Coturnix japonica: one gene and its partners. The protein of the gene in region 1 purifies or fractionates together with the protein of each later gene. This does not show direct contact. Links are inferred from orthologs where the notes say so. Each region holds a gene or a part of one and is shown in the gene's direction. Other genes may lie near its edges.

The links.
Region 2: the proteins of RNPS1 (region 1) and EPB41L3 purify together in Homo sapiens (co-immunoprecipitation; 3 studies listed by BioGRID and IntAct, with this or other methods). This does not show direct contact. The link is inferred for Coturnix japonica from reciprocal best matches to the Homo sapiens genes RNPS1 and EPB41L3.
Region 3: the proteins of RNPS1 (region 1) and UPF3A purify together in Homo sapiens (co-immunoprecipitation; 4 studies listed by BioGRID and IntAct, with this or other methods). This does not show direct contact. The link is inferred for Coturnix japonica from reciprocal best matches to the Homo sapiens genes RNPS1 and UPF3A.
Region 4: the proteins of RNPS1 (region 1) and TRA2B purify together in Homo sapiens (affinity purification with western blotting; 3 studies listed by BioGRID and IntAct, with this or other methods). This does not show direct contact. The link is inferred for Coturnix japonica from reciprocal best matches to the Homo sapiens genes RNPS1 and TRA2B.
Region 5: the proteins of RNPS1 (region 1) and AP2A2 purify together in Homo sapiens (co-immunoprecipitation; 3 studies listed by BioGRID and IntAct, with this or other methods). This does not show direct contact. The link is inferred for Coturnix japonica from reciprocal best matches to the Homo sapiens genes RNPS1 and AP2A2.
Region 6: the proteins of RNPS1 (region 1) and CAMKV purify together in Homo sapiens (affinity purification with mass spectrometry; 3 studies listed by BioGRID and IntAct, counting the BioPlex papers as one, with this or other methods). This does not show direct contact. The link is inferred for Coturnix japonica from reciprocal best matches to the Homo sapiens genes RNPS1 and CAMKV.
Region 7: the proteins of RNPS1 (region 1) and LUC7L purify together in Homo sapiens (affinity purification with mass spectrometry; 3 studies listed by BioGRID and IntAct, counting the BioPlex papers as one, with this or other methods). This does not show direct contact. The link is inferred for Coturnix japonica from reciprocal best matches to the Homo sapiens genes RNPS1 and LUC7L.

What each region holds. Positions count from the first base shown.
Region 1 is NC_029529.1:12,005,958-12,009,948, reverse strand, and holds the end of RNPS1 (RNA-binding protein with serine-rich domain 1), read left to right. Parts: intron 1-271; coding exon 272-463; intron 464-694; coding exon 695-797; intron 798-1,583; coding exon 1,584-1,737; intron 1,738-2,175; coding exon 2,176-2,317; intron 2,318-2,957; coding exon 2,958-3,063; 3' UTR 3,064-3,491; downstream 3,492-3,991. UniProt on the Homo sapiens protein: Part of pre- and post-splicing multiprotein mRNP complexes. Auxiliary component of the splicing-dependent multiprotein exon junction complex (EJC) deposited at splice junction on mRNAs.
Region 2 is NC_029517.1:90,380,595-90,384,094, forward strand, and holds part of EPB41L3 (band 4.1-like protein 3), read left to right. Parts: coding exon 1-13; intron 14-425; coding exon 426-524; intron 525-2,212; coding exon 2,213-2,293; intron 2,294-2,557; coding exon 2,558-2,668; 3' UTR 2,669-2,674; intron 2,675-3,500. UniProt on the Homo sapiens protein: Tumor suppressor that inhibits cell proliferation and promotes apoptosis. Modulates the activity of protein arginine N-methyltransferases, including PRMT3 and PRMT5.
Region 3 is NC_029516.1:123,392,521-123,396,020, reverse strand, and holds part of UPF3A (regulator of nonsense transcripts 3A), read left to right. Parts: intron 1-2,295; coding exon 2,296-2,402; intron 2,403-3,292; coding exon 3,293-3,391; intron 3,392-3,481; coding exon 3,482-3,500. UniProt on the Homo sapiens protein: Involved in nonsense-mediated decay (NMD) of mRNAs containing premature stop codons by associating with the nuclear exon junction complex (EJC) and serving as link between the EJC core and NMD machinery.
Region 4 is NC_029524.1:3,326,464-3,329,963, forward strand, and holds part of TRA2B (transformer-2 protein homolog beta), read left to right. Parts: intron 1-1,003; coding exon 1,004-1,119; intron 1,120-1,949; coding exon 1,950-2,033; intron 2,034-3,500. UniProt on the Homo sapiens protein: Sequence-specific RNA-binding protein which participates in the control of pre-mRNA splicing. Can either activate or suppress exon inclusion. Acts additively with RBMX to promote exon 7 inclusion of the survival motor neuron SMN2.
Region 5 is NC_029520.1:9,470,427-9,473,926, forward strand, and holds part of AP2A2 (AP-2 complex subunit alpha-2), read left to right. Parts: coding exon 1-38; intron 39-327; coding exon 328-425; intron 426-583; coding exon 584-815; intron 816-1,871; coding exon 1,872-2,045; intron 2,046-3,272; coding exon 3,273-3,436; intron 3,437-3,500. UniProt on the Homo sapiens protein: Component of the adaptor protein complex 2 (AP-2). Adaptor protein complexes function in protein transport via transport vesicles in different membrane traffic pathways.
Region 6 is NC_029527.1:1,482,003-1,485,266, reverse strand, and holds the end of CAMKV (caM kinase-like vesicle-associated protein), read left to right. Parts: intron 1-175; coding exon 176-307; intron 308-416; coding exon 417-491; intron 492-563; coding exon 564-702; intron 703-786; coding exon 787-907; intron 908-1,573; coding exon 1,574-1,649; intron 1,650-1,717; coding exon 1,718-1,854; intron 1,855-1,935; coding exon 1,936-2,014; intron 2,015-2,089; coding exon 2,090-2,177; intron 2,178-2,244; coding exon 2,245-2,502; 3' UTR 2,503-2,764; downstream 2,765-3,264. Other genes in the region: E3 ubiquitin-protein ligase TRAIP, read left to right, coding at 3,177-3,264. UniProt on the Homo sapiens protein: Does not appear to have detectable kinase activity.
Region 7 is NC_029529.1:10,852,063-10,856,105, reverse strand, and holds the start of LUC7L (putative RNA-binding protein Luc7-like 1), read left to right. Parts: upstream 1-1,243; 5' UTR 1,244-1,364; coding exon 1,365-1,425; intron 1,426-1,841; exon of another isoform or gene 1,842-1,912; intron 1,913-2,431; exon of another isoform or gene 2,432-2,553; intron 2,554-3,050; coding exon 3,051-3,145; intron 3,146-4,043. UniProt on the Homo sapiens protein: May bind to RNA via its Arg/Ser-rich domain.

The sequences.
Region 1 (3,991 bases):
TACCATTACAGGCAGTAACAAATACATGTTTTCAGAGCCACCTTTTGCTGACTTCCACACGGCTCAGATTTACACAACCTTTGAATTGCATTGGTCACAATGGAAAGATTAAAGGAAGGGGTTTTGACCGTTGTGAAGTATGGTGGAATTAGTGAGCTATGGAGAGTCGGTTTTCATTGCTGTAACTTGCAGTTGCTTTCTGTCTACCAGGAGAAGAGCTTCAGCCATTCTTTTTCTGGGTATTCCACTCATGTTTTGCTTCCTTTACCAGGTCCCGCTCCAGCTCCACTTCCAGCTCAGGATCCAGTTCCAGCACTGGTTCCAGCAGTGGCTCGAGCTCCTCTTCTGCCTCAAGCCGCTCTGGGAGCTCCAGCACCTCACGCAGTTCAAGTTCCAGCAGCTCCTCTGGATCCCCCAGTCCGTCCCGACGGAGACATGACAACAGGAGGCGGTCCCGCTCCAAGTGAGTTCATGTTGTCTTTAGGAATTCCTACAGAGCAGGTTCCTTGTGCAATACAAGGTTGTGATCAAACAGATTTTTACCAAGGATGGTCTGCATTCTCCGTAACTTAGAGATGTGAATTTTGTTAGAACAGGCATGTTTCTATTAATGGCAGTCAAAATGGATGCCAGCTTCTAGTTCTTGTCGTCTTGTTTCCCCTGAAAACTGTGAATGTTTTCATGTCCAAATCAGGTCCAAGCCACCGAAGAGAGATGAAAAGGAGCGGAAGCGGCGCAGCCCATCACCCAGACCTACAAAAGTGCACGTTGGGAGGCTCACTAGAAACGTCACCAAGGTAATGGCATGTTCTCCTGTAATGCCACGCAGGTGCACCCCTGTGGGCGTGTGTTGGTGGCTTTTTTTAAAGCCTTCAAGGTTTGTTTTGTTGCTGGTGTACTGCCAGCACATTGCTGTTGGAAATGCTTGCTTTGTGTCCAAACTGATGAGCGTGGAATGCTTCAGTAGAACTTCCTCAAGTCAAATTAACTGTGGGCTTGTGTAATTCAGTAGTGTTAAAAGTTCTGTCTGCCTTATTGGTACCCGAGAGCTCCACCTTCCTAGGAAGAAAGCTGTAGAAGTCAGTACAGCAGTAGAAATCACCTGGGAGGCATTAAGGACACCTGGGGGGTTCACCAAAAGGAGCTTCAGGAGAGCTGGACTGGCTGGAGTTGTCTTTGCTAGAATGTAGTTTAAAGGTCTGCAGAAATACAAGTTTAGGGTGCTGAAAAAATGCTATTTAAAAACACAATATTAAGAATTGCACCTTAAGACTTTCTAAGTGAGGACACAACTTCACTTTCCTAAGGTCCCCAGGAAGGTTTTTACACTAGTGCAGCTTTTGTAGCCTGTGGTGGTGTTCAGCCAGTAATTCTGTTAAGGATTAGAGTGATCTGAAGTGAAACAGACATAGATGTCAGTAGAGGATGTGGTAATCTCAGTGTCCTTTCCACACCTGATCAGTGGAATATATCTCCTGCAGGTGGCATTGATTCAAAGCTGATGTGGTGCTGTGTGCTCTGTACCAGCCAGAGCTGCTCAGTGATAGTGCTGTACATCCTTAAGTTCTGCTCTTTTTTGGCAGGATCACATCATGGAAATTTTTTCCACTTATGGAAAGATTAAAATGATTGACATGCCAGTTGACAGGCTAAATCCACACCTCTCTAAAGGCTACGCTTATGTGGAGTTTGAGAACCCAGATGATGCTGAGAAAGCCCTGAAACACATGGATGGAGGTAGGTGTCAAATGCTGCAAGGAGGCTGAGTGCTTTGAAAGAAGTTTTTGGATTTGATGTGAAAATGAGATGGAGATGATGGGCTGCCTTTTGGGGAACTGATCTGACGTGCTGTCATTCTGTTTTCAGCCCAGAGGGGCTTTTGTATGGTCTCAGGACAGGTTGAAAAGAAAATACAGAACTATTAAAATGATAGTTTTGTTTTTTTTTTCCAAACAAAATATCATTTAAATCTTTGTGAAAATCCTTCCTGATCCATGTCTGGTGGGATACTTGGTGAAGAAGTCTGGTGTGTGTGTGGTTTGGTCAGTATAACTTCAGAGTGTAGTGGAAATAGGAGCACGGGGTCGTGCTGCTTGTGTCAGAGCTGTGAATCGCTGTCACTTGGTTTGTTGGTGCTGGCAAACACTAACTTTATTTTTGTGACTTTCTGAACAGGGCAGATCGATGGGCAGGAGATCACTGCCACAGCTGTACTGGCACCACGGCCCAGACCGCCGCCTCGGCGCTTCAGCCCCCCCAGGAGGATGCTGCCCCCACCCCCCATGTGGCGCAGGTCACCCCCTCGCATGAGGAGAAGGTGAGAGCTGTGGCATTTCTTATTTCCTTCTTGTTGTAACAAGAATTTGTCATGAAGTCCCAGTGCCAGGACAGCTTCGTCTCATTGGAGTTGATTGTCCACTCCAAATGACAGTTCAAAACAAAGCAGTCACCTTCTGGGTGTCAGTTGAACTCAGATTGTTCTTAATATTCCATTCCTGGGACCTTGGTGTCACACTGGTGGCTGTACAGACTAATTGTAGCACTTTATCTTTAGAGCTGAGCTTCCTGTGAGAAGTGTCTGTGGTGCTGTGTGAGCTGTGTCAATACTGAACAATATTTCAGGAGCCAAAGTCTCAGATGAACCTTTCAGATCGAGGAGAGTCTGACTTAGAACAAACTTGTTTGTTTTGTGTGAAGCAGAAAATAAGATTCTTGTCTATTCTTTGGATATGAAGCAGCCTTTCAAGCTGTGAAGCAGAGGGTGGTAGCTAGAAAATCCCTGCTGGGATCTTGCTGTTTAAGTTGCCCTTTTGCTTCCTGCGGTTTGCTGTCTGTCGGATCTTTCACAGTGGTTTATAAGGGGGCGAAAGGAATCAATGAGCAGAGGTGGCAGGTGAGGTGACCTTCCTGGAGCTGCTCCCTGTGCCCTGACAGGAACTTTCTCCTCCTCCTGCCAGGTCTCGCTCCCCGCGCCGCAGGTCTCCTGTTCGCCGGCGCTCGCGGTCCAGGTCTCCGGGACGAAGGCGCCACCGCAGCCGCTCCAGCTCCAACTCGTCACGATAAAGCAAAAAAAGAATGGACAGCTTTTTATTTTTTAACTTAAATTCCGCGAAAATAAATATTGTACCTTTTTTATAATGGGTCTAGGAGAGGAAGGGAGAGAGGGGGAGAGAGAGGATGCAGTGGAGGTAACAGAGAGGAGACGGCAGCAGCTCCCGGCCATTGGGCAGCCTCTGCTGCGGGGCTTGGAAGTTTCCTGGCATTGAATTGGCATTATTGACAAACAGCCTCGATTTTTATGTTTTAGTTTTGTTTTTTCCCGGCTATAAACCCACCGTGTCCTGTGCTGGTTGTGCGGGGCTGCTCTGGCCCCTTTGTCCAGTGAGTTCACAATGCTTTGTGTGCTGTAAGGGTGAGCGTATCGATCTCGAGCTGTTTGGAAACGCTGCAGAACGGGACAGGGAGCCTCAGGGCTGGGACTGAGCGGCTCGAACAGATCACAAACCTGATCACAGACCTGATCCTTGAGCTGCTGCTTTATTCCCAGTCCCAAATAATGAGTCGTTTGTGCCCATTGATGTCCTGCAGTGCTCCTGGTTGATGCTGCACCCTGCTGAACGCTGCGAATCTTACCAGCGGGTTTGTAGCTGCTGCCCCACTCGGTCCCATAAGGAAACAATGCGATTGTTCTGCTTTACAAATCCCATTAGCAACTGATGGGCAACCACTGCAAGGCAGAGGGGGGGCTTGAGGCCGTGCTGCTGCCTGGGGAAAGGCAGAGAACCAACCACCTGTTGTACAGTCGATCCTATAAAGTCTTTTTGTTGTTTTTTCTTTATTTTCGTGTCGTTTTGTATGACTTTGTAGCCTTCGGGGCCGCGTTGTGTTTGTACTTGTGTAGGACGAGCGACTCGAATAAAGCAGTAGGGTTGAGAAATCGGGGCTCCTGCGCCTTTAAGAGCACAGTGGGCGGGGCTTCTTGCGGCTCCGC
Region 2 (3,500 bases), on another chromosome or scaffold:
TGAGTCTTCACAGGTAAGAAATCCTACAGAAGCCAATGTCTAATTAGCATGGCCTTGAAAATCCCATCTCTCTTCATCCATGTTTTGGTGTATTCCTTAGTATGAACTGTTGTTTGGGAACTCAATACTAGCACGGAGAGTATGTGCAAAAGTGTATTGTACCTGAAGGTGACTGGTGTGTCCTGATGTAGGGCCTTTAGAGAATGCTGATAAAACTATAGGTTTCAAAGCCCCAGTTTCTCATCTGTCCTTCCAGAAGAGAAGTCGTAATGCAGAGAGAAATAAAGATGCATAATCACCCTAACAGCTGTTATTTCCCTGTTGTTAAATAACTCTCTATGAAGAACAGCAAAAATAGAGAAGCTCAGTTCTTGACTTCCTTTGCTTAAGGGTATACTTTTGATTATTGTTTTTTGGTTCTCTAGGTGGATAGTGGTGCTGACTCAGAGCCTGGTGTGCTGATGAGTGCACAAACTATCACGTCTGAAACCACCAGCACTACAACCACTACACATATCACCAAAGTGAGTCCTCTGGAAATGGAAAGCTTTTTTTTTTTTTTTTTTTTTTTTTTCTGAAGGAAAAATGTGTTTTCTTAGCTTCTGTTGTTTTAAAGCAGAGTCACATGCTTATAAGCTCAAACAAAATCCTGTCTGTTTTGGCTTTCACCTGTCTTTGGGTATACTAGCTTGATTAAGGTCAAGTGCACAGTGCTGCACTTGGATCGGGGAATCCTAGGTATTTATACAAACTGGGGGAAGATCTCCTTGAGAGCAGCCCTGTGGAGAAGGACTTGGGAGTCCTGGTGGATGAGAAGCTGGACATGAGCCAGCAGTGTGCGCTTGCAGCCCACAAGGCCAACTGTGCTCTGGGTTGCATTAAAAAAGGGGTGGCCAGCAGGGAGAGGGAGGTGATTGTCCCCAACTACTCAGCACTTGTGAGGCCCCATCTGATGTACTGTGTCCAGGCCTGGGGCCTCCAGTACTGGAAGGACTTGGAGCTCTTGGAGCCGGTCCAGAGGAGGGCCACTAAGATGATCAGAGGGCTGGGGCACCTCTCCTGCAAGGAAAGGTTGAGGGAACTGGGCTTGTTTAGCTTGGAGAAGAGAAGGCTCCAGGGACTGTTTACATGGGTTGATATGATAGGACAAGGGGGAATGGTTTTAAACTGAGATGGGGAGGTTTAGGTTAGATTTTAGGTGGATGTTTTTCACACAGAGGGTGGTGAAGCACTGGAACAGGTTGCCCAAGGAGGTTGTGGATGCCCCATCCCTGGAGGCATTCAAGGCCAGGCTGGATGTGGCACTGGGCAGCCTGGTCTAGTGGATGGTGACACTGCACACAGCAGGGGAATTGAAATTGGATGATCATTGTGGTCCTCTCCAACTCAGGCCATTCTATGATTAACCTATCACCCAAGGACTTAAGAGTGGTCTGAAAAGAATAAACCCTTCAGGTATGTCTACACTACTGTGCAGATACATTTGAATTAGCAGCAAATACTTTCTTAATCAGGGACCAATGTAGCCAAGTTGTCATCAAATGATTCCAAGGAAGGAATGATTTTTCTCAGCATGAGATTGTCAGGACCATACTGCTTTTGAGTCCTGCACTATTTGGTCTGCACAGTTTTGAAATGGTTGTAAATCTGTATCGTATAGTCATAATGGAACATTCAGTCAGCTTAGACACTGAGTTGTTGTAGTGTTGTTGTGCTGTAAGGAGCTAGCAGAAACCCTATTTGTACAGTGACAGCTTTCTTACTAGTATTCAGTGAAGACTGCATTTCATCCTTCTGCAGTGCAATTCACCCTTCAGTAGATGAGCTTTACAAGGGCTGTACAGCCTCTCTGTTCTTCTAAAGCCTGCAGTGTGTCTTACCTAGGTTTTAATATGAGCTCTCTGTCTGTATGACCATTCTTCTTTTCATGGGATGAATTTACCACTAATACCTGTCATTTTTGACCTACCCCAAATATCTTTCTGGATGTGTGCAGGCTGGTTAAAATCACATCATCATCTTTGTCAGAAGGAACTCTGGAGAGGTCCAACCCCCCCATTCTGAGCAAGCTCCAATTGCAGTATGGGGCTGTCATCTGTGTGTGTCCAAAGTTGGTTTAGTCGGATCACATCTGAATGTGTGATAGTCCTGCAAATGGGTTGCAACACTCTTTAAAGCAAGCTACTGACATGTATTTATCATTCTCATTTAGACTGTGAAAGGAGGCATCTCAGAAACAAGAATCGAAAAACGAATAGTCATCACAGGAGATGCAGATATCGACCATGATCAGGTAAAATCTCTAAGCTGTTTAAGGCTACCCTGAAGGCTGAAAAACAGAACATTACTAAACATTGTTTTAAAAGATACTGTTCAAACCGACATGCCTTAAATTAAACTGAACTAGTAGTTAAGTCAGTGATGGTATATTTCATATTTTAATCATTTTCCTCATTTGTAAACTGTGTAATATCTCATGAATCTCTCCACCTTGCTACTGATCATGCATGTTCCACCTCCTTTTTGTTTTTGCCCTTCTGTGGTTTCCTTGGGATAGGCGCTGGCTCAGGCAATTAAAGAAGCCAAAGAGCAGCACCCTGACATGTCAGTGACCAAAGTAGTGGTACATAAAGAGACAGAAATCACACCAGAAGATGGGGAGGATTGACCGCAGGTAAGTAGACTAGATGATTTTCCCAGGCATTTACTGGGCTGGCATGTTGCAAAGGTTGTTTTCCTACCATAATTCACCTCTAACTCCACTTTCTCTCTATGACATTTGCAAGTTGCATTTATGCTGTTTATCAGTTCTGATGTTTGAATGCAAAGCCCATTCAGCTCTGAATGTCTTCATTTAACAGTGCCAGCTGGAGCAACAGAAACCACTCATTTGCTTTTGTTGGCTCTCTGCAAATTCCTCATTGTCCATGCTTTGATACAGTCTAATTTCTAATCCTGAAGTCAAAAAAACTCTTTTGTCTGCTTCTATGTCATTTAAGAATAAACTTTTGTTCTTAAAGAACAATAAAAGAACCAGTTAAGAACAATTAAATATCATTTAAGAACAAACTTTTGTTCTTAAAGGTATGCATTTTGTTTAAAAAATGCCAAGGGTAAAACCTATAGCTGCTTTTTCAGTGTTCTGTGCGGATATGTTACAAGTTAAGCTTTATTCCAAACTTGCAAAGGTATGGCCTAACTTGCTTTTGATTTTTGTTTTGAACCCAGTGAGCTCAGTGTGTCAGCATTTGGATGTCTTGGCTTTCTTGTATTTCAAAGGACATATTATGTTTTAAAGCAGCATTGTTTATCAGGATGAGATGATGATGCAGCTTTCTTGTGTTGAGCTTTGTTTATTTTCCATAAAGGCATGCTCTCCAATTGTGGTTGGCCAAACAGACATCTTAATATTCCTATATTTGCTCTATGCGCAGAAACATGTCATGCATACTAACCTGCTACCTAAAAGCTGCTAATGCCGGCACCATTGCACAAATTGC
Region 3 (3,500 bases), on another chromosome or scaffold:
TTGATAGTTAGAGTGGTGAGACACTGGAACAGGCTGCACAGTGAGGCTGTGGATGCCCCCTCCCTAGAAGCGTTCAAGGCCAGGCTGGATGGGGCTTTGAGCAGACTGGTCTAGAGGGAGGTGTCCCTGCCTATAGCAGGGGATTTGGAACTAGGTGATCTTAAAGGTCCCTTCCAACTCAAAGCATTCTATGATCAGGCTGGACCCTCAAGGTTGTTTTTTCCTGGTGAATCTTCAGTACTTCTAGACTATAATCATATCAGTCTCTAATATCAGCTCTCATTTCATTTTAACTTTGAAGAACATATGGAGTGTAAGATAAGAATAGTCTTGTTGAAGTGACAGAGGTTTGTTCCTTCCTGGGAGCCACCGCTTAGCAGACTTCATTGCTGTTGCAGTCATGCAGCACAGAGGACTTTTTCATAGAATCATAGAATCACAAGGTTGGAAAGGACCTACAAGATCATCTAGTCCAACCATCTTCCCATTACTGCAGCTACAGCAAACCACTAAACCATATCTTAGAGCTCCTCATCCAGCACAACTGTGAGGCATCACAGTAAACTTTCCATCTTTGCAGACACTTGCAACTCCTACTGTTATTGTTTTCTAATATTATTTTTAATGGTACATACCTTATGTATGGTATATATATACCTTTAATGGTACATACCATACCTGTTAAATTTAATCTTTTTTTTTTTTTTTTTTTAAAGTTTTTATTTTTATTTTTTTTTTTGCTTTGCTTTGAAAGCACTGAGATGGAAGCTAGCTTGTTTCAGCTGCACTGCATGTTGCTAATGATTCCACACGCTCCTGGAGATGCCTTGTGTTTCATGAGCAGACTGGAGGTTTGCAAATCTGGTAACAGAACTCTGCAGGGTGTGCAGAAGAACTCTGTGGCCAAGCACATCCATATGTCACCATGCTTATTTGGTTGAGCTGTCTAGATGTTTCCTGCAAACAGACTGTACCCTGATACGTAGCATCTGTGTGGGCTGTGGTGGATAAGGAAGCATGCTTGATGTCTGTAGCATCTTTCAGCACTGTTTTGTGTCGACAGCATAGCACTAGCTGTGCCCAATCAGGCCTTTCTGTGGTTGCCTCCCTCCCTGGAGATCTTCTGAAGCCCCATGGCCCTGGGCACCCCGCTCTTGGTGGCCCTGCTAGAGCAGCTGTTAGGACAGAGGGACCCAGAGGGTCCTGCCAGCCTGAGCCATCCTGTGCTTCTGTGATACCTGCTTGCAGTTCATTCAATGCTATTACCTTCCCAGAATGTCAAAATAGTGAATAAATATGTGCTGGTTGTCTTCTGCTGCTGGTGAGTTTATCTTAAAACAGCAGTTGTATGGCAGCAGTACTGTGAACACAGGTATATTAAAATTACGGGCTCACATTCAAATCAAATACATTCAAGTATACTGGGGAAAAAAAAATGTATTAACGTGAAGACATCACTAAAAACAGATTAAGCCAAATGTTTTTACATCGTAATTGTGTGGGAGTGAGAGTTAAGTGTGCACCTGACACTTAGCTGATGAGTGGTAATGCATTACATTACCACAGTTCCATCGGTGGAGGTGGTGTGCCAGCCCTGAGGTTTTGATCTGGCACGCTAATATTTAGAGTGGAACCAATGCCAATAAATTCTTGAAGGATCAGAATTATATTGGGTAAGTACCTGTTCTTTCTTGTGCTAAAAAAAATGCTTTTGATTTTCTCAGTTTTTTTTCTCCACAATTAGACATATATATTCATGCGTGTGTCAAATGGAGTTTGTTTATTTGTACAGAATGCAGCATATTACCTTGCCAAGTATTAAGTCATTTAATCTTTCTTTAATGTGGGAATACAGTGATAGCTTAGCAACTTCCAGTTCACTGAAAGCTTTTACTTCCTTTCCACTACGTCAGCAATGGAAGACATTCCTAACATGCCCAAGAGGTTCCCCAAAAGCACTGCTGTTACTCATCTCTCAAGTCACGAACAAATAGACTTAAAGTTTTGATCCTGCAAAATGGAAATGTATGCTCTGCAATTTAAGGAGACAAAACAAGCTAGAAACATTTGTCTCTGTTCAGAATAAATTTCATAGCTGTATCAGGAATTCAGTCACTGAGTTGATAGATACAGATGTAATAGAAGTTTTTATATGTATTTAGAAACATAAGTATGCATGGTTAAGTTAGCCATTTCCCAGAGAGAATGAGAATGGCAGTGTGATCTATCTATTTCATTTTTCCAGGCCTGAACAGAATAGTAAATAACAGAAAATGACGTTGTTTCTTGTTGCAGCCTTTATCCTCATCTCTACTCAAGAGCATACATTAACTTTAGAAATCCTGAGGACATCCTCCTTTTTAGAGATCGCTTTGATGGCTATGTCTTCATTGATAATAAAGGTTGGACTATTTGTAAGCTATTACATGTGAATACATACATGCCTACATTGCCATTTTAGAACATTAATTCATTTCATTTTTTATAATTAGGCTATTATTTATTTATTTATTTATTTTGCTTAAGATACAGTTGATTACATAAAAGTGCACTAAAACAAAATCTGGTTATTGGAAGATAATGAAGTGAAAAATGTATTTGTCCAGGCAGTCTTATTTGTCTGCATGGTGTGCACACTTCATCTGCATTCTCATAACTCAAGCAGTACATTGTCAGGATCCTATTCATTATCTTAGGTGAGCTTCACAATTCAACACAACATTGACCCAAAACATTGCAAGCACAAGTGGCTGCATCTTTGTTGTGTTTCTGTGAGATAAAGCGGTGCTGTGCATTCCCCTTCTGAGAAAGCAAAACCAAAACCCACATCCTCACTATTTTGGTTGCACAATTTGAGATATGTATGGCTTGACTTTTCAGAGAGCTTTTATGTTTGATAGAACCTCAGGTGTTTTCAGTCTGATTTCCCTTAACAGTGTGTGTACTCACCTGTATTTGTCGATAAGAGCCTGGACATTCTGCTGTAATGTAGGAGACAGATGGTCAGTTTGGTGTGGTTGTTTGCACGTACCAAGCCCAAGCTTAGATTGCAAGTGCCCTCTAGTGAAGCTAATAATAATGTTTAAATGATTCAAGTATTAAAGTGTTTTGTTTGTAATCCAAAATACAGCCACGTGCAAATTGTCCTTTGAAATTCAGGATGGGATTTTAGAAACATTCATCTTCACTTTCAAGTAAAGCTACCCAACACAGACATGAAGGGTTTGGAAAACCTTACTTGAATACAATGAATGCTTCCTGAAATAAAAATTAAGTGTTGTTCTCTTTTAAGGTTTGGAGTACCCTGCAGTGGTTGAATTTGCTCCATTTCAGAAGATTTCAAAAAAGAAATTAAAAAAGAAAGACACCAAGGCTGGGAGCATTGAAGATGGTAAGTGTATCTTCTTGATGTCACGGTGGAAAACAGATTCCATTTCTGTCATGCATAGTACTAACAGAATTCAAAACTTTATCTTCACAGACCCAGAATATAGGAAATT
Region 4 (3,500 bases), on another chromosome or scaffold:
TGGATTGAGTTGTCGTATAATTCACAAAAAGCAAACATCAACGTACTCTAGTGTGAACTGTGCCAACAAGAAAAGGAAAATAGAAACACGTGCTCTCTTTGCTCTTAATTAGGCATGTTCTTTCCAAACTTCACGTGTGATCTTCTGTTTAATATTAATGTTCAGAGTACCCCAGACTGGTGCTTCAGCGTTCTCAAATGCTCAGGTGCCCTATGGAAGCATTAACGTGCATTCTGTTTGCTTCTAGTGCCTCAAATGTAAAGGGAGGAGAAAATCTTCTTTCCAATTTAATGCCAGACAGGCATTAAATTAAAATGATATCGCTACTGAACAACAAACTACTGAATGTATGCTTACAAACGCTACAGAATGACCAGGGAAAGGAGCTTGCTAAGTGTGTAATTCTGCACTCAGGCCTGGCCTGGATAGTGCTGTGAATAGTCTCATCTTCTGCATAAATTCCACTTCATATTGTCTGGAGTGACTTTCCCCCCACCACCCCTTAAATTTGGCAAGAGACTTCTGTGTTAAGCTGAAGCTTTGAATGTAAGCTGTCCTGCATGGCAGGAAAAAGAAAAACAGTTTCAGATTTGCTTGTTATTACTATATTCAAGGTTAGGGTACAGTTTTAGAATGTCTTTGGAGAGGGGGGGTTCTATGCTGTTTGATGTTCCATGTTGAGGGAGTTAAGATTACTTGTAGAAGCGTTTTTAAAGGCTCTCCTCAATCATATCAGAAAGAGTGAAACCATGGGTAAGTTACATTCCTCACAGACATTTCATGCAATATAAGTTGTGTTAAAGTAGTTACTGAAGCTTATACCCAGCTGGCCTAGGATGTCTTAGAGTTTAGGTCAGTGATTAAGTGTGAGGCATAAGTGAAATTCAGAACTGCCTTAACTGAGATCTCTTAGGGCTTTTCTTAATACATCAAGCAGTGGTTAGGAATTTGTGTTGGTAGTAAAATTCATACCTACAGCTAAGTCTATTTTATCTGTGTTTAGGCTAAGGAACGTGCCAATGGAATGGAGTTGGATGGAAGAAGAATCCGGGTAGACTTTTCCATAACAAAAAGACCTCACACGCCTACCCCTGGAATCTACATGGGAAGACCCACTTAGTAGGTTACTGTTGTGGCATTTTTTCCTCTGGAAGTGTAAGGGTCAGGATACATTGTGTCCTGTATTTTAAAAGACAAAATAACAGCAACAAAACAATTTCTCAGTGGCTGATCTGAGGTCAGTTTAGATTACAGTAAGCAGAAACTTATGTCCAATAGCTATGCAGTCCAAACATAAGCTGTCTACACATTTAAGTCTGCAGTAAGAATTTTGGATAAGTTCTAAATTATTTCAAGTTGTTTCTGATTAGTGGATGTTCCCCTGTGTGCTCTCAAACACCAGTGGCTTTGTAAGCTCTAGTTTTCAAGCATCCCTCAACAAATACTACTGTGCAGCTTTGCTACAGTTTACCCTATTAAACATTTGACAAAGTTACTAAGAATGTGAGTTGTTTTCCCAAGTCAATTCTCAGTTGTTTTCTCAAGATTTTCTGGTTACAGAGCTGTTGGCTGTGTATTGGTGTTGTATGGAGGCTCTAAGTTTATTTTTTTGATGGAGAAATTCATCCAAAAGCTTTCTGGGAGTAAGAAGTGAATGAGGAGTTGGGTACAGGCACATAGAATTCCTTGTGTGCCTGCCTTAAAATGGTGAGAGGTTTCAGAACAGAGAGGAAAGTAGCTGCTTTAGAGATCAAGCATTTTAAACAGCAGTGTTAAGTAGTTCTGTTTCCATCTGCATCACTGGGAAACACTCATAGCATCACCTTAACTGTGAGAATGGAAGACAGTAACTTAAGTGAGTTAAAAAGGGATATGCTTGACTGACTGCACTGCAAACAGAATTGATGTTTTATGTTTTCTTAAATGAAATTCTCTTTTATTACTTGTAGTGGCAGCTCACGGCGACGGGATTACTATGACAGAGGATATGATAGAGGATATGATGATCGTGACTATTACAGCAGATCATACAGGTGAGGCGATGTTTGTAGTGCTGAACTACTTCAACTTTGTTCTACATGTGTGTGCCAGAATATTTCTGTGCTCATTCTAATTGGAATCTCCATATACCTCTACAAAAATAGCTGGTCAAGACAAATGAGGTTGGTCAGATATGAGAAAAATACTTTGTGCTGTTTCACAGGAGCGTGGTTTATTCTGTACTGCTTCTTTAAATTGATGAAAAACAAAGTACCATTCTCTGTACTCACGTTTCTTGTTCCTCTCCCAGCATTAACATGATGGGTGTACAGGTGTCAATCTGATATTTGAGTTTGCAATTTGATGCCAAATTAGTTTTTGAATGTAGTAGACAACAAGTAGGATGTTTCAATGGTCACCATTGAACAATTATGACATCTCAAATGTTGCCACAGCAAAGAATCAGATATAAGAGGATTACTTGTTCTGTACTCGAAGCTTGTTTGGCAAGGCTTTTTTAGCATACTCTTATCAGGTTGGATGAGGATGTTCTCCTGCAGGGACTTGTGCTTTTTATTTCTGTCTGCAGTCTTAGGTTTTCAACAGTACAGTGAAAGTGCTGAATATCCCGGTGGCAGCATAGGTTGTTGGAGGGCTTCTAAAGCTGATAGAAAATGTGTTGAAAACTCAGTTGGCACTTAATTGGTTTTGGTGGCACAGCCAGCTCTATATTGTGTTCTCTGTTATGACTGCCCGGAGGAGTTGTGTCATGTGAAATTCCCAGAATTTGACTCAAACACGTTAAATTGGACACACAGATGACACATTTCATTATTTTATTTTAATCTAATTGCCTGGTGTACCTTTGGTTGCAGAATCATAGAGCCGTTCTGAGTTGTTTGCTGTGCTTTAATGCATCAGCACTGGGTACATCTATGACGGTTGCTTGATGACAGTGTTTGGAGAAGCATGAGTTTGAATTCTGTTGTTCACTTATAGCTCACAATGAACAATCTAAATCCTGAGATCTGAGCTTTTGCAATGTGCTCTTCTGGATATTTACATTTGTATGGTCTTTCTCAGTCACTTTGGGCAACTGTTTCCTCCTTCCTGTCCTACTACTTGCAGGCACTTGTTTTTTCCAGCCTGTCATCAAGGATTTGGTCTGTTTCTCTCTTCCTTGCCTTTCTGTACTTCAGCTCTGCAGGGGCTGGGGGAGGATTAAGGTGCTTCTGCATCACGACAGTGAATGCTGGAGACACAAGTGCTTTGCTCATAGTTCTGGGAAAGAGTATTTTCTGCCTTAAAAAACAATTCATTTCCCTGCTACGTCAGTGGCTTTGAACGTCAGGGTTAAGCTGTTACAAGGACAAGATATATTGGTTTTCATCTTGCCAGCAATTGTACATAGGCTTCCACATGAAGTAGGTGAGACCTGAAAGTAGCAATTTGACCAAGCTTTCTGCATGCGGTACAAAAGCTTGCTCAGAATAGTGACAATTATCCTCGTTTTACTTAAT
Region 5 (3,500 bases), on another chromosome or scaffold:
ATGATGTTCAAGGGTACGCAGCAAAGACTGTTTTTGAGGTGAGAATAATTGGGTGGATTAATAAGGAAATTACGTTACCTGGAAACTTAGTAAAAATAGAAGTCTTTTACAGTGTTTTTTTTCCCCTGAGTTTTCTGGCTGCTGGAATCCAAACTGAGTAATAACTTGGTGATCCTCCTGGAAGTATGCAGCCATTACCTGCTAATGTACAGGAATTGTCTGGGAAACCAAACAAGGGAAAGACAGAGGAAAAAAATGGGAAAAGGGAAAAAATATATGTATTTTTTAGTACAATACAGATCAAGGACTCCTACTGTGTTCTTACAGGCCCTTCAAGCTCCAGCATGCCATGAGAATCTCGTAAAAGTAGGTGGCTACATCTTGGGAGAGTTTGGTAATCTGATAGCAGGGGATCCAAGATCAAGGTAAAACACCTTTTAATTTCATTGAAGTAATTATAAAAAAAAATAATTTATTTATCCTAAAAGTCAGTTAAGAAATGATTCAGCTCTTGATAGTAATATCATTGAGGTTATCATGTCAACAGAATCTGAACTAATTGTTTTTCTTTCTCTTTTTCAAGCCCCCTCATCCAGTTCAACTTGCTACATTCCAAGTTTCATCTGTGTAGTGTTCCTACCCGAGCTCTGCTTCTGTCCACCTACATCAAGTTTGTGAACCTGTTTCCAGAAATCAAAACTACAATTCAAGATGTGTTGCGCAGTGACAGTCAGCTAAAGAATGCAGATGTTGAGCTGCAGCAGAGAGCTGTTGAGTATCTGAGGCTCAGTACTATTGCCAGTACTGATATATTGGTAGGTATAGAACCCTTTTTATTATGCAGAACACTTTAGCCGTTTCTTCTCTCAATAAGTAAACTTGAATAAATCTTAGCTGTTTGCTCCAAAATCTTAATGCAGAATTAAAGATCTGTAAAATGGATGCTGGTTCCTCTTAGTGTATATAATCCAGCTCTTTAACCTAAAACTAAAATCAAAGGTGTTACTTCCTTGGTAAGGTAGATCACTACTTGTATCTTTATGAAAATATTATAGGTTTTCAGAGATTTGGTAAGCCTTTCAAAGATATATTTATTGGATCAGGTCCTCAGAGACTCTCAAACTGTGTGATTTCTTCCACTTGTATTCCTCCACACAACAGTCTGGTTGTCTTCATGTCCTTTAGCTTTACGATTATTGAAAAATTAACGTCATCTCTGAGCATGAGTGAGGGATAGTGTGTCCTAAAGAACACTTGTCAAAGGCAATGCATAAATTGAAACCAAATAGAAAAGGAAGACCTCACTTAATCCTTACAGATTTTTTTTTTTTATGCCGGTGTTAAACAATTGCAAACTATTTCAGAAGATCTGTGAAATCTACTTGTTTACTGGTGGGCATGAAAATTTTGTCTCTAGAAATTTCAGGTGCTTTAGCCTGATGCACTCAGATCTGGCCGGAGCATGGTGCTCTCAGCCTAGACAGCTAATAGACAACTATATCTGACTAGATCCTTGGGTAATCTGTGCTTTCAGGTCTTGGTGGAGGTTTGCTATAGTCTCCTCCCTCCTTCTTCATTTATTTATTTTTAGGTGTACTTTATCAAACACCTAAAAATACACTCCTGCTCTTCTAAGCAACAACTTTGGGAGGACTTCAGAAAGCTTTATATAGTTTCTTTTAAAGGCAAGTCTTATCTACCACTGTGTACCAGACTACATACATAGCTATTTTCTGTGTAGGTGATTTTTATTTATTTATTTATTTATTTTGCCTTGATGTCTTTTGACAAAGACTGGGATGTTGGTTTGGCTTATTCTGTAAATATAATTAGTATACTTTTTTCTTTTTTTTTTTTTTTCCTGTAATAAGGCTACAGTGCTGGAGGAAATGCCTCCCTTTCCAGAGAGGGAATCTTCTATTTTGGCTAAACTCAAGAAGAAGAAAGGTCCAGGCACAGTTACTGACCTGGAAGAGATCAAAAAGGAGAGGAGCTCTGATATGAATGGAAGTGCTGAACCTGCATCTGTCAATGCCAGTGCTGTTGTGAGTTTCAAATCTGTTCTTACTTCACTAACTCAGAGGGTGTGCAGGTGAGGAAAGACTGGTTTCCTTGGCTTTTTAGGGCCTTTAACCTTCTTGTCTCGAATTTCAAACTATGAATGTTTGCTATACAGTAGTGTCCCTTCTTTGTTGTTATTTTGAGAAGTATTGCCCTAGTCTTAGAAATGAAAATTTCATTGCTGATGGAGATGTAGGGATGGTGAGGTGTTTGAAATTGAATTTATTCCTTTTAAAGTAACTTCAGTAAAGTCAGCTGTTCTTCTACGTTGTCTAACATGCCTACTTCTGCATCTAGTTGTGGGTCACTGTTGTTTTTTCTAGTAGCGGACAGTACTTGACAGGGATGTCCTTAATAATTGCTCTTTATTTGATGGTCCTATTTCTGTTCAGTTATGGTACACAAGTCTTCATATTTTTTTCTGTGCTGAACCACCTCATTTTAATGTCAATTAAGGTTGGTCAAGTGAATGATTCCCATGACATAATACTTGTTGCTGTTCAAGTTACAGATTATGCTTATAAGTACAGTTGAGATGCAGTAGCATTTTAGCATGCTCCCTCTCTTACAGCTTACTCGTTTAACTCTTACAATAGGTATGGGTATACATTCCAGATGAGTTATGTTTGAATTGACAGGTATATCTTTAGGTGCCAAGCATTCTTTATGTGCCAAATTGGCTGATGTATCTGGTATTTAAAATTGTATTCTGCCTTACAAGCTTCACTTTGAATTGCAGCAGTGTAAGAAATTCTGCCAAGTTACCTTCATTACCATTTTGGATGTCACCTTAGCTTGGATGGCTGAAGATGAACTCAGAGTTCATCTCATTGCTTTGAGCAGATCTTGCTGATCAATTTCTGAAGAAATTTGGCCAGGGATTTTTCTGTTATCCTGCATTGAAGTCAGCCTTTGGTGTATAAGAAAATGTTGAGTTGTATTGTATTTGAATTAGGCGTGAAATTTTGTTCTTGTCTCATTGTCTCTTGCATCCTTAGAATATCTGGCATAATGCAGGGTGCTAATATCTAATGCATGATCACTTTATTTAACAATCAGTCTCTGCTTTGCTCTTGCACATGACTTGTGCATGTATGAAACCTTTGTTTTATTAACAGTGCATGATTCTGCCTCCCAGTCACTGGATTTGTTCTACTTGAGCAAATTTATATATGTTAAGATCTGATCTCTACGTATCTTGTCTTCCCTAGACTACTCCTTCTCCATCTGCGGATCTGCTGGGTCTGGGTGCAGCCCCTCTCACCAATTCAGCTCCCCCACCTTCCTCTAGTGGTAGCCTGCTGGTGGATGTATTTTCAGATTCAGCTTCTGCTGTTGCACCTCTTGCTCCTGGTTCTGATGACAACTTTGCAAGGTAATTAAGTCATCCTCTATGGCATCTGGTAAAGCGTTTGTCTACTAAAGCAGGATTAGACAAA
Region 6 (3,264 bases), on another chromosome or scaffold:
AGCTCAGTATTGATAGTTCTGCAGCATCCATCCGGCCGTGAGCTCTGTGCAGGGACAGGGGCCATCCTGCAGGATGCTCCAGGAGCCCATGTGGCCCTGTAGCAGGGAAAGGGCTTTTTCTTGACCCCCCTGCTTTCCTAATCCTTTGCTTATCCCTTGCTTATCCTCCTTGAAGGGAGGAGTTCTGTGAAATCTTCCGGGCGAAGGAGAAGACGTCGGGCAAGCTGTACACCTGCAAGAAGTTCCTGAAGCGGGACGGGCGCAAGGTGAGGAAGGCAGCCAAGAATGAGATCATCATCCTGAAAATGTGAGTGCCGGGGCCGAGGGGGGGTTGGGTCAGTCCCCACGGGTGGTCAGGCAGCACCCATCCATGCTTCCATCCATCCATTGCCACCACTGTCCTATGGGTGCCGCAGGGTGAAGCACCCCAACATCCTGCAGCTGGTGGACGTCTACATCACGCGCAAGGAGTACTTCATCTTCCTGGAGCTGTAAGCATAGCGTGAGGAGGAGGGTGGGCGCCGTGCTGTGGGGCCACCACAGCCTGCTCTTGGCACCGGCAGGGCCACGGGCCGGGAGGTTTTCGACTGGATCCTGGACCAGGGCTACTACTCAGAGAAGGACACCAGCAACGTCATCCGGCAGGTGCTGGAGGCCGTCGCGTACCTGCACTCCCTCAAGATCGTTCACAGGAACCTCAAGGTGGGCGCTGGGGGTCCCTGGTGGGCCCAGGCACCTATGGGTGCTTTTGCAGCCCCGTCACGCTCACATTCCCTGTGCTGGCAGCTGGAGAACCTGGTGTACTACAACCGCCTGAAGAACTCCAAGATCGTCATCAGCGACTTCCACCTGGCCAAGCTGGAGAACGGCCTCATCAAGGAGCCCTGTGGCACCCCTGAGTACCTGGGTGAGGGCGAGCTGGGCAGGCACAGAGAGGGGGTGGGGGGCACAGACTGCCTGTCTCAGGGTCAGCATTCTGGCAGGTCCCTGCCCTCCTAGTGCGTCCATCATGATGACCCTGGTTGCTTCTGATGAGTGTCCATCACTCAGGGACCCATCCTGGGTGCTCCTGGCAGTTCTCTCCCATTCACATCACCCTGCAGCTGATGCTGGCTGCACCCTGGGGGTCCCTCCTGCTCCCCAGCACCCATCCTAAGAGCTCCCATCGGGTCCCTGCTGCTGACTGCTCTCTGTGGGTTCCTGTGTGTCCCTGGTGGGTTACTCCCACTTCCCATCACACAGAGAAGCAATCGGATGCTCACAACGGGTCCCTCCTGCTCCCCATCACCCCAGGCACCCATCCTGATTCCTCCCAAAGGGTTCTTCCTGCTTCCTATCACCTCAAGGACCCATCCATGGTTCCTCCCTATGGGTTCCTCCTGCTCTCCATCATTCCAATTACCCACACTGGGTCCCTCCTGCTGCTCACGGGTGACCTGTTGGGACGCACCATGCATGGCCACCCTGGAGGAGCAAATCGGGTACAGGGGGATGGGTTTCCCAGTGGGGGAACTTGGTGTCTGGAGACCCCAGAGCAGAACAGGTCCCCCTACCACCATCCTGTGTTCTGTAGCTCCAGAGGTGGTGGGACGGCAGCGGTACGGGCGGCCGGTGGACTGCTGGGCCATTGGTGTCATCATGTACATCCTGTGAGTGTGGGGCTGGGGCTGGGGTGCTCTGGGTTGTGGGAGGAGGGCACTGAACACACATCCTGCAGGCTCTCGGGGAACCCCCCCTTCTACGAGGAGGCAGATGAGGATGACTATGAGAACCACGACAAGAACCTCTTCCGCAAAATCCTGGCTGGGGACTACGAGTTCGACCCACCCTATTGGGATGACATCTCACAGGCTGGTGAGACATAGTACCTGAGGAGGGGGGAGGTGGGTACGGGGTCCCTGTGTGTCCCCCCAGCGCTGACCGTCCTGACCCCAGCCAAGGAGCTGGTGACACGACTGATGGAGGTGGAGCAGGACCAGCGGATCACGGCAGAGGAGGCCATCTCTCATGAATGGTGAGGGGTTGCGGTGGCACGGGGGGGTCTGGGGAAGGCAGTGAGGGCCGCTCACCACCTCCTTCCTCCCCCCAGGATCTCTGGCAACGCCGCCTCCGACAAGAACATCAAGGACGGCGTCTGCGCCCAGATCGAGAAGAACTTCGCCAGGGCCAAGTGGAAGGTGGGTGGGCGCAGCCCGGTGCCTCAGTTTCCCCCCGGGGGGTCCTGACGCGCTGTCGTCCCCGCAGAAAGCCGTGCGAGTGACCACGCTCATGAAGCGGCTGCGGGCGCCCGAGCAGACGGAGTCGGCCCCCGCAGCCACCGCTACCACCGCTTCCACCGCCGCTACTACCACCACTACCACCACCACTACCACCACCACCACCGCCGCAGCCGCCGCCACGGACGCCGCGGCCCCGCCAGCTCCCAGCCCGGCCGCCGACACGTGTAACGGGGCCGGGGACGCCGCAGCTGCCGCCGAGACCCCCAACGAGCCGAGCGGCTGAGCGGCCCCGTGTCCACAGCCCCGGCATGGCCCCCGCACCCCCCGCCTGCGCCCCACTTTTCTACGTGCCCCCAGCGGAGAGCGGGGCAGCGCCCTGCATGGAGCCCGTCCCCTCCCGGTCCCCGCCGCTCTCTCGGTCCGTCCCCCGCCGCCTCCCCCCCTCCCGCCCCCCGCAGCCCGGGGATGCTCAGAGATCCCCGCGGACACCCCGGGATGCGCTCACGGGCCGGGCCCGAGGCGGGAACGGGGGCTGGGATGGGGGGGGGGGTGTCGGTACCGTCCATCCCTCCCGTCGTCCCGCCGCCCCCGGCCGCTGCATTGCCCGCTGTATCTCCGGCAAATAAAGACCCGCGCGAGGGCAAACTGGGACGGCGGCCATAGCAAACGAGCGACAGCAGTCCGGGGGGTCGGTACCGGGAGGGCGGTGGATGGGGCCGGGTGGAGGGAGGTCGGGGCTCTGAGGGCAGAGCGGCCGGTCGGGCCGGGCGTGGGCGGGGCCGCCCGCACAGGGGGCGTGTCATGGCGGCTGCGGGACCCGCCCGCACCGTGACGTCACATCCTGCCTGAACCGGGAAGTGCGTCGGCCTGGCGGCCCGGTTTGAACGGCGCGGCGTCGCGCGGTTTGTGAGCGATTCCGTCTACTTCCGTTCCATCCGGTACTTCCGGTTCTCCGCGATGCCGATCCGCGGCACTAGCCCATCTGCTCCGGATTTCTCGACAACGCCTTACATGTGTCCTGTGCCGTTGCGGCACACCTTCTCAC
Region 7 (4,043 bases), about 1.2 Mb from region 1:
GTGCTGCCATCCCTCCCCACACACTCCTGTTGGCAGCCCTGGGGGGGGGGGCAGCAGGTCCCGCCCAGGCACTGCTGGGCAAACACGGCCAGCAGGAGCTGATAAGCCACGGGCAGCCTTCGATCTGCCACCTGATGTCACCCACTGCCACTGCTGCCTGTGATGCACAGCCTGGCACAGCTTGGCACAGCGTTGGCATTAGCCTCCATGGCTGGAAGGGACAGAGCCAGGTTTATCTGTTCCCCAGCGACACAACCACTGCAGGCCATGCACCAAAAGGGTAAACAGGATTTCCAGGCAGAAAACCGTAACCAGACCTTTGCCTAGTCCTGTTTTCCACCTTTCACACAATGAAGCCATTCCCTTTCTTCATCACTCCTTGCAGGGGAATCCCACATACAGGTTGGTACAGCTCAAAGGGGCCTGACATGGTTCAGCACAGCCTGGCACAGGTTGGTACAGCACAACCTGGCATTGCTCAGTATGGCTGGGCAGGGATTGGCACAGCCAGGCAGGGCTTGCTCCAACACAGCCTGACTGGGCTTGATATGGCACAGAAGGGCCTGGCTCATGTTGGTGCAGCTACAAAGGGTCTGACACAGCTCAGCACAGCCTGACATGGGTTGGTATGGCAGAGCTGGCAGTTCTCAGTGCTGCCTGATGGACTGGCACAGCCCTGCCTGAAACAACAGGGGTTGGTGAGGCCCAACCTGGCCTCGTTTGTCCTGGTAGAGCCTGGCACAGCACAGTGCAGCTCAGTGAGGCCTGGCACAGGTTGGTGCGAGATGAAAGGGTCCAACATGGCTCAGTATGGCCTGGTACCAGTCCAGGTTCAGTGTATGACGCAGTGGTCCAACATAACTCAGTATGGCCCATCAGGGATTGGCACAGCCTGGCCTGGTACAGCCCAGCACGGCCTGGTACAGCTCAGGTTCATTGTATGACGCAGTGGTCCAACATGGCTCAGCACGGCCTGGTACAGCTCGTTCAGTGTATGACCCAGTGGTCCAGCATGAGTCAGTATGGCCTGGTACAGTCCAGGTTCAGTGTATGACGCAGTGGTCCAACATAACTCAGCACGGCCCATCATGGACTGGCACATCCCGTCCTGTCAGGCATTTCCAGGTCCTGGCCCACTCTGGTCCCGCCCAGCCCGGCTCGGCCCGGTCCATACTCCCTCCCGACCCTCTCAGGACTACACATCCCGTCATGCTCCGCGCCGCCGGGAGGGGCCGCTTCCGCCCAGCGCCCGTCGTGCGTCGCCGCCGCCGAGGCCGAGCCCGGAGCCGCGGTTGAAGCCGCCGCCGCCGCCGCCGCTCTCCTTCCTCCTCCTCCTCCGTCCGTCCCGCAGCCCCGTAGCCGCCATGTCGGCTCAGGCGCAGATGCGGGCCCTGCTGGACCAGCTGATGGGCACGGCCCGGGACGGTGAGTAGGGGCGGGCGGGGCCTGCAGGATCCGCGGCCTGGCTGCCCAGCGGGGCCCGGTCCGGCTCCACCCGCGGCCTACGGGCTGTCGCTGTGTGGATCCGCGGGGTGTGTGTGTGGGGTGGGCCGCATCGCCCTGCCCCGCCGAGCCCCGTCGGGTCGGAGCCGTAGGTAGGTCGTACTGTCCGGCCTTACGGTCCGGCCTTAATGCGGTTCGTGTGGGCCCGAGCTCTCCAATACCCGCCTCGTAGCGGGGTTTGCTCAGGTCCTTTTGCACTTTGTTTCGTTAAGTGAATGAAGTGCCTTTCTCTCTCTCTTTTATTTTTTTGTGTGTGTTGAGTTGCTGTTGAATTGCTTCCCATATATTTTATTTCATACAAACTGAACAATGGTGGCCCCTCTATTTTATTCATAAAGGTTCAGTGTATCTTTGCCTGCCTACATCAATCTGCAAGGGAGTTGCAGAAAAGCCTCATGTTCATCGAGCCGTGAGTCACAACCGATTTTTAAAGCTGTTATAACAAAAATTAAAAGAAAAAAAAACAAAAAAGAAAAGAAAAAAGAAAAAAAAACCCCAAAAAAGTGTTTGCTTTTTCTTTTTTTCCCCCCTCCCCAGCAGTAACTTTAAAAGCGTAGCTTAGAAAGCAAGAAAAACCATTTGGAATAGACACAATTCCTGGATGCTTGCAAACCCTATTCCTATGATGACACGCCTGTGTCATGTATACACAGCTTCGCTTTAAAATTGTCACGTTCCATTACCACTTTGCCTTTACTTTCATGTATCGTTCCCCTGACTTCCTTACTGCAGGTGTGGGCAAGAAAGCTTTTCCTTTAAAACTTTTCAACAGTGGGCATAAAATTCTGCAGCTGAGGTCTTGAAGAATGCAGATGGGTATAGTATATGTTGGAGCTCGCAGTGTGTATTGACTAACTTTGTTTCTTTTTTTTATTATTTTATTTTATTTTATTTTATTTTCTGCTTTTCTGATATTGTCTTGTTTAAGTGGCTCCTGAATGTAAAATGTCTCCTGAGGGCGGGAGGAGGGTGGGAACTACGCTACGTGCTCCGGGCCGAGACCTACGAGATGCAGCATTTCACGGCCTTGGAAAACACGCTGCAGACTTGGTATTGAGACCAAATGGACCGATGTCTTAATCATCAGATTAGCAAATAGAAGTTGCTTATAAAAGTATAAAACCAAACCCAACTGCCCAGCACAGCCTTATGTTGTGATTCATGGCCCTCTGCTTGCTTGGGTTCCAGTATCTCCTGCCCTTTCGTTATGGCAAAATAAAAGGGGGGATAGAACAACCAAAAGTGTTGGCTCTGAGCCGACTGTCTGTCTCCTTTTCCTCTTTGGGCTGTGCAGTCTCTTTATATGGATGACAGGCTTTGGACGTTACTTGGCTTTCCAACACTGTGTTTAACATGGTGTACAATGAATAAATGCAAAAATGGTATTTGCTGCCAATTATGAGTTTTTCAGATTATCCTGTCACCCTCCAAGTAATTCTGGGGAGCACCAAGTATTTTAATCTGCATATTGAAATGATCATGCTGACATTTCTGTTCCTTATCGGTATTCTAATGTCTCCTTATTTAAAACCACAAATGAATTTCAGGAGATGAAACCAGGCAAAGGGTGAAGTTTACAGACGATCGTGTCTGCAAGAGCCACCTCCTGGATTGCTGTCCTCATGATATCCTGGCAGGAACAGTAAGTATTCCTTTGGAATAAGGAATTTTGGTAAGGCAAACGTTGGCACAGCTCTCAAGGGCTCCTCTGTGCCACCCAAAGTACCTTTGAGGAGATGCAGCCTGGAAAACATCAGATTTCCCTTACACCAGGGATAGCCAGCAATTTTCATTTCAGTTTCCATGCTGTCTTTGGATCCACAATAGTCAGGTGTATTCTGAATTCATTCACACTGCTTTTTCTATCACAATCGATGGGAGGTTGCAAGGTTATTTCTGTTTTGACAGCTTATGGTGGTTAGGATGTGAAGCTTGTCCTGTGGGGGTCACGGGATCGTGGCCTACAGGAGCCAGCTTGCTGTCCAGGGTGCTGCAGCTCACTGCATCTTCAGCTGCAGTAACCCTCAATCCTCAGAGCTTTTAGTCTCCTTTTTTAAACCAGGTGGTATTCTCCCAGTGGGATTTCAGCTTTTTAATCATAAAGGGTGAGCATATAATGGCAGGTTACAGTTCAGGCCAGCTTTGTCTTTAGTTTGTTGGTGTGAGTAGTATGTTGCTCTGCCTGACTGGTTTCAAACAGTTGGGACAGCTTCCTTCACTGGTGCCCTCTGGGGATACAGCTGGCCAAGGTTCAGAGGATTGGCTCAGATGTTCTCTGTGAGAGCAGGAGGTGACGTGGTAACAACGAGATCTTGTGGAGTAAGAATCCAGCTTTCAAAAGAAAACAGTATACGACTTTGGTAATTACTGTGTTACTTAATTGCAGGATGGAGATGAATAACGCTGTTTGTCTCTAAATGCTGTGACTTTTTATGTTGTCCATCCACTTAACCAGATTTTTTTTAACTGCACTCCTTGTTTATAGGACTTTATTGTGTTATTTCACAAGCTGGGGTTTGACACGTGGGTTCCCAGCAGAG